Saccharomyces cerevisiae S288C: one gene and its partner. Changing the gene in region 1 together with any one later gene gives a genetic interaction. Each region holds a gene or a part of one and is shown on either strand. Other genes may lie near its edges.

What was found. A genetic interaction does not mean that the proteins touch.
Region 2: mutations in MRT4 (region 1) and TRI1 together harm fitness more than expected from each alone (negative genetic interaction), as found in Saccharomyces cerevisiae (2 studies listed by BioGRID).

What each region holds. Positions count from the first base shown.
Region 1 is NC_001143.9:422,896-427,452, forward strand, and holds MRT4 (ribosome assembly factor MRT4), read left to right. Parts: upstream 1-3,346; coding exon 3,347-4,057; downstream 4,058-4,557. Other genes in the region: putative ubiquitin-protein ligase UFD4, read right to left, coding at 1-2,980; sphingosine N-acyltransferase LAC1, read right to left, coding at 4,400-4,557. UniProt on the Saccharomyces cerevisiae protein: Component of the ribosome assembly machinery. Nuclear paralog of the ribosomal protein P0, it binds pre-60S subunits at an early stage of assembly in the nucleolus, and is replaced by P0 in cytoplasmic pre-60S subunits and mature 80S ribosomes.
Region 2 is NC_001145.3:737,524-741,105, forward strand, and holds TRI1 (Tri1p), read left to right. Parts: upstream 1-1,661; coding exon 1,662-2,342; downstream 2,343-3,582. Other genes in the region: FUS2 (Fus2p), read left to right, coding at 1-1,436; RNH1 (RNA-DNA hybrid ribonuclease), read left to right, coding at 2,743-3,582. UniProt on the Saccharomyces cerevisiae protein: May be involved in transcription regulation.

The sequences.
Region 1 (4,557 bases):
AAGATCCAGTATCAACCTGTGCGAATTCTCTTTTTTTATAAAAATCTCTTAACTTTTTCCCCTCATTAGCTTCCTCGGCTGCCTCACTCTCTCTATTGTTACCTTCTAAACTTTTGCAAAATTTGATTGTATGTGTATCATCCCATAAAGTTTTTAAGTCACGATTTCGCCTGACGAATGTATTAAATATCACACCAAATACTGTAGACTCCATGTCAACTTTTTCATTATCATAAAAAAAGTCAAAGTTCTTTTTTCTCATATGATCCAAGCAATTTTCTTCTTCTTCCCTATCAGCTTCGGTACTGGAAGATGTAAGGTTTGGGATTAATGAATTCAAAAAACGCATTCTTACCATTCTGTGTCTCAAAAACTCATTAAGTGAGGTAAAAGAAGCTATGCAATGGACCGAAACGATAGTAGATGATAAATCAGTACCAATATTATCTTTGCTTGCATCGCCATCATAAACCAACTTAATTTTTATCTCTTTAGCCAGTGAAGATACACCACCACCATCGTGTAAACCGCAATCAACTATAGAGAAATTCTCCAGCCTTGTGAGAGCAGATTGTAGGATTTCTAAAAATCTGTCAATACAATCCTCAAATACCTCTAAAAATGATTTAGCAAGAATGAAATGGGATACCGTTGAGGATGTAATTCTTTTAGTTATGGAGGAAGCTAGCCCTGTAGAAGTAAATTCGAAACCTGACACGTCGAAATCTTCATGGAAAATACATTTTTTTAAAACAGACCAAATTCCCTTCCAATCCTCTTCAGTTTTGTCCGGAGTGGAAGGATTTTCTAAAATAGAAACAACGCCTTCGATTTGATGGAGCTCCTCTGTTATTGCTTCTTGCTCAACGTTCATCTGAGAAAGTACTCTATTAACTAGGTTCACACCCTTGTTTTTAATATAAGCTAGAGATAGAGTTCTGAAAATGTGTATTGAAATTTTCTTTGGTTTTACTGAATCAGGAATTTCCATATCAGTAAATTCGTAATCATATTCTTCATCACCCTCATCACATTCCTCAATACTGCTATGCAAATCCCCTTCTTCGTCAGAAAGTGAAATATTTTCATTCCCGTCTTCCTTTAAATCAATGTTATTGAAATCCACAGACAAATCCTTAACCAAATCAAAAATGCCCTCTCTTTTGATGGAAGGAAAGAACAGTTCGGAAAACTTTTTACAAATTAAGTCAAGCAACGAGAGACCACCAACCAACAGTGTACCAGCTTCTGATGAGTAAGTACCATTAGCGTTAGACGCTGTTTCTTTTTGGGCCAGGATAGATCCGATTAACTTAATAAGTTGATCATTGATTGCCTTTGCTGTGGAATTATTTATGCATGATACAACCCTCAGTAAAGCAATAAGTACGTATCTTCTTACGTCAAAGTCAGCAGCATTTGTATAAATTTCAACGAGAATTGGAATTAGACATTGAACTAGGGAATCAAACTTTTCCTGGTTAGAAATTACGCCACGGTCGCTATTTCCGGTATATTTATCCGCTGACAGTATTCTTTCATCCTCGGGAGGAAACAATACAACTATAAATCTAGAAATGCTAATCAATAAACTGTTTGGGACATAAATCAGTGTTTCATGTAACCCTGCGTTAGGACTTTTACTATAATGCTGGAATGATCGTGTTGCCATGTCGACAATGTCAGTTTTCTCTCTCAGTTCTCTTGAAAGTACATCACTACTCATCGCTAATACGGTTAAAATATCCAAACATTTCAGTTTATTCTCCAAGGGGGTATCCTGAATAGAAACTAGCTGAACTATTCTTTCGATTAAATCCAACGAAAACAAAGTCTCAAATTTGTCAACCCCATGCAACGCCCCGCAAATACCGTACATGGCATTTACAAGCCTGGTTAATATTGGTTGGTCTGTCGCATTCGAGAAAATTGGCTTCAGCGTTGGAAGTACTTCAACAATGGTCTTAAAGTCATCCGTTCGGATACTGCTACAGGCGTTCGAAACAATTGCGATAGCCTTCCTCTGCGCATGTATAGTTAAAAAATCGAAGAATTGGACGTAGATTGATAATTGGCCCGTTTTTAAAATGTCTCTCCCATGTACTCTAGAAATATATTCCACCGTTTCTAAAACTTGTTCTGCGAGGTCAATGTAACTGATCTCTACCAATTTTCCTTGTAAAATTGGTATAACGTGTTCATCAACAGCTATTGAAATAGATTCAGGGCAGACCTCAAAAAGATTATACATGCATCTACAAGCTTGCATTTGTAATTCTAATTCTTCCCGTAAAATTTTATCAGAGAGTATGGCAGCTATATTACCTATTAAGGTTTCCATCGGTATAATTCTATCGACAACCATTTGATTCATCATTAATATGTTTTCAGAAAGTTCTTTTAAACTCTCCATTGCAATATAAGGATCCTCGGAGGCATTCCCAGTATTCTCTATCAATTTAGAAATCCGCTCATTCCTTGCCGAACTCTCTGCGCTCCTCTCCATCCTTCCTCCAATCATCGATAAAATCTCGGGTAGTGTTCTTCCAACCGGGTGTTGCCCAAGTCCTTCACTTGTTTGTCTTCTTTGTTCTAGTCTTTGTGCGAATGTTTCCAAAATGTCAGGTAAATGTAGGGGGTTGCTGCCAAATTCATTATTATCGTGAGAACGTTCAAGTCCATCTTCTTCTTCATTTCTGTCTTCGTCACTGCCATTCTGAGTTCTATGATATCCATATAAAAGTCCAGAATCATCTTCATGATGGTAATCGTTATCGTCATCTTCACCATCATCTGCCTCAAAACTTCCGACGCTAGAAAGCATATGTTCATCTTCATCTTCATCAGGATAATAAGAGTACTCACCCTGTACATGGCCATCCTCATCATAGTCATCTTCTACCTGCGTATCCATCATATAATCACTGTTTTCGCTATGGGACTCATGTTCATCAAGGTTGTGCGAATTATTTTCAGACATGCTTGGCTACTCTTCTATTTTAAATGTTTATCCAAAATTTTCACACCTGAGATATATTGTTGTTAATAAAGCACACAGAAAGGAAAGTATCGATCCCAGAAAGTGGTCTTTCCCTGGGTATGATCAAAGCTATTCCCCTTTCCAACTACTGTTGGCTATGATCCCACAATTTGATTTCAGTTCAGAAAACCCAACCATTAGGACTTTACCCGGCGAAGGTGAAAGAAAAAATTTTTTTCCAGAAAAATGCGATGAGCTTTTGAAAAGTTGCAAATATTTGTAGTACTTTGGCTAAGCAGAGCTGATTCCTTTTGCTATACGTACATCACTGTCTATCGTCCATAAAAGATTTATTATAGTTGAATCATGCCAAGATCAAAACGTTCCAAGCTAGTCACTTTAGCACAAACCGATAAAAAGGGCAGAGAAAATAAAGAAAGAATTTTCGATGAAGTGAGGGAAGCCTTAGATACTTATAGATACGTCTGGGTCCTACATCTTGACGACGTAAGAACTCCAGTTTTACAAGAAATCAGAACATCTTGGGCAGGCTCTAAGTTAATTATGGGTAAGAGGAAAGTTTTACAAAAAGCATTGGGAGAAAAGAGGGAAGAAGAATACAAAGAAAATCTGTATCAATTGAGTAAGCTTTGTAGCGGTGTCACTGGTTTATTGTTCACTGATGAGGATGTCAACACTGTCAAGGAATACTTTAAGTCATACGTTCGTTCAGACTATTCAAGACCGAACACGAAAGCACCACTAACATTTACAATTCCTGAGGGCATTGTCTACTCACGTGGTGGTCAAATTCCAGCTGAGGAAGATGTTCCAATGATTCATTCTTTAGAGCCAACTATGAGAAACAAATTTGAAATTCCAACTAAAATCAAAGCTGGTAAGATCACCATTGACAGTCCATATTTAGTTTGCACTGAAGGAGAAAAATTAGATGTTCGTCAAGCTTTAATACTGAAACAATTCGGTATCGCTGCTTCTGAATTCAAAGTCAAGGTGTCGGCCTACTATGACAACGATAGCTCCACTGTTGAAAGCACTAACATCAACATGGAATAAGCTGAACTATTATTTGGAAGCCTTTTTTAATAGACCATTGTATAAAAATTTCTTTTTTTTGTATAGATATACTAAAGCAACGCTCATAAATGTAACATAGCTTCTTTTCAACTGAGAATTTATATTCATGCTAACTAAGCGTAAATCACTTTTGATCTTCACAGCTCTTTAGCGGCACGAAAGCAAGAAAAAAAGATAACACTGTATGTCTGGAAAAGAATACTATAAAAATACCTGTTTACATAAACCAATAAGGAAGAACGTGAGAGCAGGACCGTAAAAGAATTAATGTGTAAAGAATTAATGTGTAATGGTTATACTACTTAAAAACACCGTTTTCCTTCAAATATCCTTTTTCGTTGGAGTACTGTCAGTTGGAGTAGTGGAACTTTCATCACTTTCTTCGTCTGATTCACTATCACTTCTGTCATCCTTGAGAATACCTCTCCATAGAATCCTGTAAAGAACTCTAAAAATAAGGAACAGCCAATAAAGATTCA
Region 2 (3,582 bases), on another chromosome or scaffold:
AAAAGATATTCACCAAAAATGAGGTACAACAGCAGCTATATTCAACTTTTGATATTTCAGAGGCGTTCGAGCAACATTTGTTAAGAATCAAATCCACCTACACAAGCTATTTTGTTAGCCACCAAAAACAAATGGAACTATTTACTACATTAAGGATGAATAAGAATCATTTTTTTAACAAGTGGTATGAATATTGTTTAAAAGAGAGTGGATGTATAAAGTTAGAGGACATATTGAAAAGCCCGATGAAAAGACTGACTCAGTGGATTGATACTTTGGAAACTTTGGAAAGCTGTTACGAAGATATTCTTTCGCCAGAATTGGGCTTGAAACTAAGCCCGACAAGAAGAAAATATTCTTTATTTTCCAATAAGTTAGAAACCGAGGTCTCCGAGTATAAGAGTAATTCCATGTATAATTTCAGTTTAACCCCATCAGAGATTATACAAAGTTATGATGAAGATCAGTTTACACACCTTTTAAAACCCCCAGACAAACAAAATAAAAATATATGTAATGCATCTCGACAAGAGAGTAATTTGGATAATAGTAGAGTTCCTTCTCTTCTTTCTGGATCATCGAGTTACTACTCAGATGTATCAGGGCTAGAAATTGTCACTAATACTTCAACTGCCTCAGCTGAGATGATAAATCTAAAAATGGATGAAGAAACAGAATTTTTTACATTGGCAGATCACATCAGTAAATTCAAGAAAGTAATGAAAGGTTTGTTAGAATTAAAAAAGAATTTATTGAAAAACGATCTGTCAGGCATTATTGATATCAGTTTAAGAAGAATAAATGCATGGAAAAAGGTGATCGAGTGCGAACGCCCTTCTGGTGCATTTTTTGCGCACGATAACTTAATATCGACCATGTGTTCTTCGTACATAGATAAACTGCATGAACAAAAAAATCAAGTAACAATTTTGAAACTCACAGAGCTCGAAACAGATGTGATGAACCCACTTGAAAGAATCATAGCCCATTGTACTACCGTTAAAAGCAAACTAAAAGATTTGCAAGCTTTGAAGAAAGATTACATGTTATTTTTACAAGAAAAAAAAGCAAATGTGCGAGATATTAAACGTGACTTGTTGGGAATGCATTTCCAAAACCTGCAAAACCAGATGAAAAGGGAATTACCGGTCTTTATTACTTTGATCCACGATACTATCGAATGTATCTTGTTGAACTATATCAAAGTCTTCTTAAAATATTTGGAAATCATTGCTGGTGGAAAAAAATACCTGCAAAAAGATCTTGAAAATATGTCTCTTAATGACTCTATAGCTACCGGCCAAATTAAAAATCTTGATATTTTGCAGTGTTATTCTAAATCACGATATATGACAAAACGCATGGTAAGAAAAGATTGGCCTTTCCCTGGAGACCCTAGTGGAAGCCGTGTTGTCAGAAAACTTTTCGAACTTTAACAAAAGAGTATATTTAGCTTATAGTTTTTAGAATGTTTTGTTTTCTTTTTTATTAAAGTAGTACTACTGCGCTGGAGCAGTATATATGTTGAACTATAGTCAGTCACCTATAATTTGTTTGCTGGCGCGAAGGAGAAAGAAAATTTTAATTAATTCATGAAAAGCCTTAAGAAAAAGTTTAAGAGGAAATGAGCAAATAGAAGGCAAATAGAGGGTGAAAGCATTATGGCCGACATCAATAAATATATTCCGATGGTTGACGCTATTTTGAGCGTATCCAACCCCGATGAAATAAGCCCAAAAAGGGTGAGGAAAGCCCTGCAAATTCTCTATTCAGTTAATTTGGATTCACAAAGAAAGTTAATTAATGAATTGATTCTTGAGAGGTTCGGCGATATACAAGAAAACCCAAGAGTCTTAATTCCGAAGAACGACCTCATTAGTCGGGATCAAGAACTATCTTTGAGGTTACAGAAGGAAGAAGAAAGACCCTTGAGGTCTACGAGGAAAAGGAAAGGTAAAAGTGAAAGTAAATCTAAAAGGAAGAAGAAAAAGAATGATAGTCCTGATTCCAACAGCATTTCCGTCCGCAAAGTTCTGTTGTCAGCTCCTTTACAAAAGTTTCTAGGATCTGAAGAACTGCCACGAACGCAAGTAGTGAAGATGATATGGCAGTATATCAAAGAGCATGATCTTCAAAACCCAAAAGATCGTAGAGAAATTCTATGCGATGAGAAGATGGAACCAATTTTTGGCAAAAAAATGACGATGTTTTCAATGAATAAACTCTTAACTAAGCACTTGTTTAATCCCGATGAAATTGTGAAACATGAAGAGGAACAAAAGCAAACACCCGAAAAAGAAATCAAATTGGAAAACGAATCTCTTCCCAATTTAAGCGGTTGATCTTGGCTGTAGCACTTATACAAATTTAATGATTTTTTTTCCTCTTTGATGACATGTATAAAGCACACTGCACCTACTGTATTGTACTTGAAACAGGTAAATTAACAATTAATGTAGCATTAGTAATAAATAATTTCACTTCACGGCGTTAAAGAAATACTATGGCAAATTCGATTTGAGAATTTCGTCAAATTCTGATGATATCAATTAATGGCATATTTTTTTTATTTTTTATCTGGAGAAAAAAATGTAAAAATGACAGCAGCATCAACAATGAATAAAAGCAAGTACAATAGTCGTAAAGATCTATATTAATTTCATGGCAGCACAATAATACACGTTGTTTAAATTAGTTAAAGTGTCACTCCTTGCTTATCGAAGGAACTATCGATTCCTAATTATGGCAAGGCAAGGGAACTTCTACGCGGTTAGAAAGGGCAGGGAAACTGGGATCTATAATACATGGAATGAATGTAAAAACCAAGTTGATGGTTATGGTGGTGCAATTTATAAAAAATTTAACAGCTACGAGCAAGCGAAATCTTTCCTAGGTCAACCAAATACTACATCAAACTATGGAAGTTCAACGCATGCTGGAGGGCAAGTTAGTAAACCTCATACCACTCAAAAGCGAGTTCATCGAAGGAATCGGCCACTTCATTATTCCTCCTTGACATCGTCATCAGCATGTTCATCTTTAAGCTCTGCTAATACAAATACCTTTTATTCAGTAAAGAGTAATGTTCCAAATATCGAGAGTAAAATCTTTAACAATTGGAAAGACTGTCAAGCCTATGTCAAGCATAAAAGGGGTATAACCTTCAAGAAGTTTGAAGACCAATTAGCTGCGGAAAACTTCATTAGTGGTATGAGTGCGCATGATTACAAGCTCATGAATATATCCAAAGAAAGTTTTGAATCTAAGTATAAGCTTTCTAGCAATACCATGTACAACAAGTCTATGAACGTTTACTGTGATGGTTCAAGTTTTGGAAACGGCACGTCATCTTCAAGGGCAGGTTATGGTGCATATTTTGAAGGAGCGCCAGAGGAAAATATTTCAGAACCCTTATTATCGGGAGCTCAAACTAATAATAGAGCTGAAATCGAAGCAGTATCAGAAGCTTTGAAGAAAATCTGGGAAAAGTTAACTAATGAAAAGGAAAAAGTAAATTATCAAATCAAAACTGATTCAGAGTACGTAACCAAATTATTAAATGACAGGTATATGACGTATGAT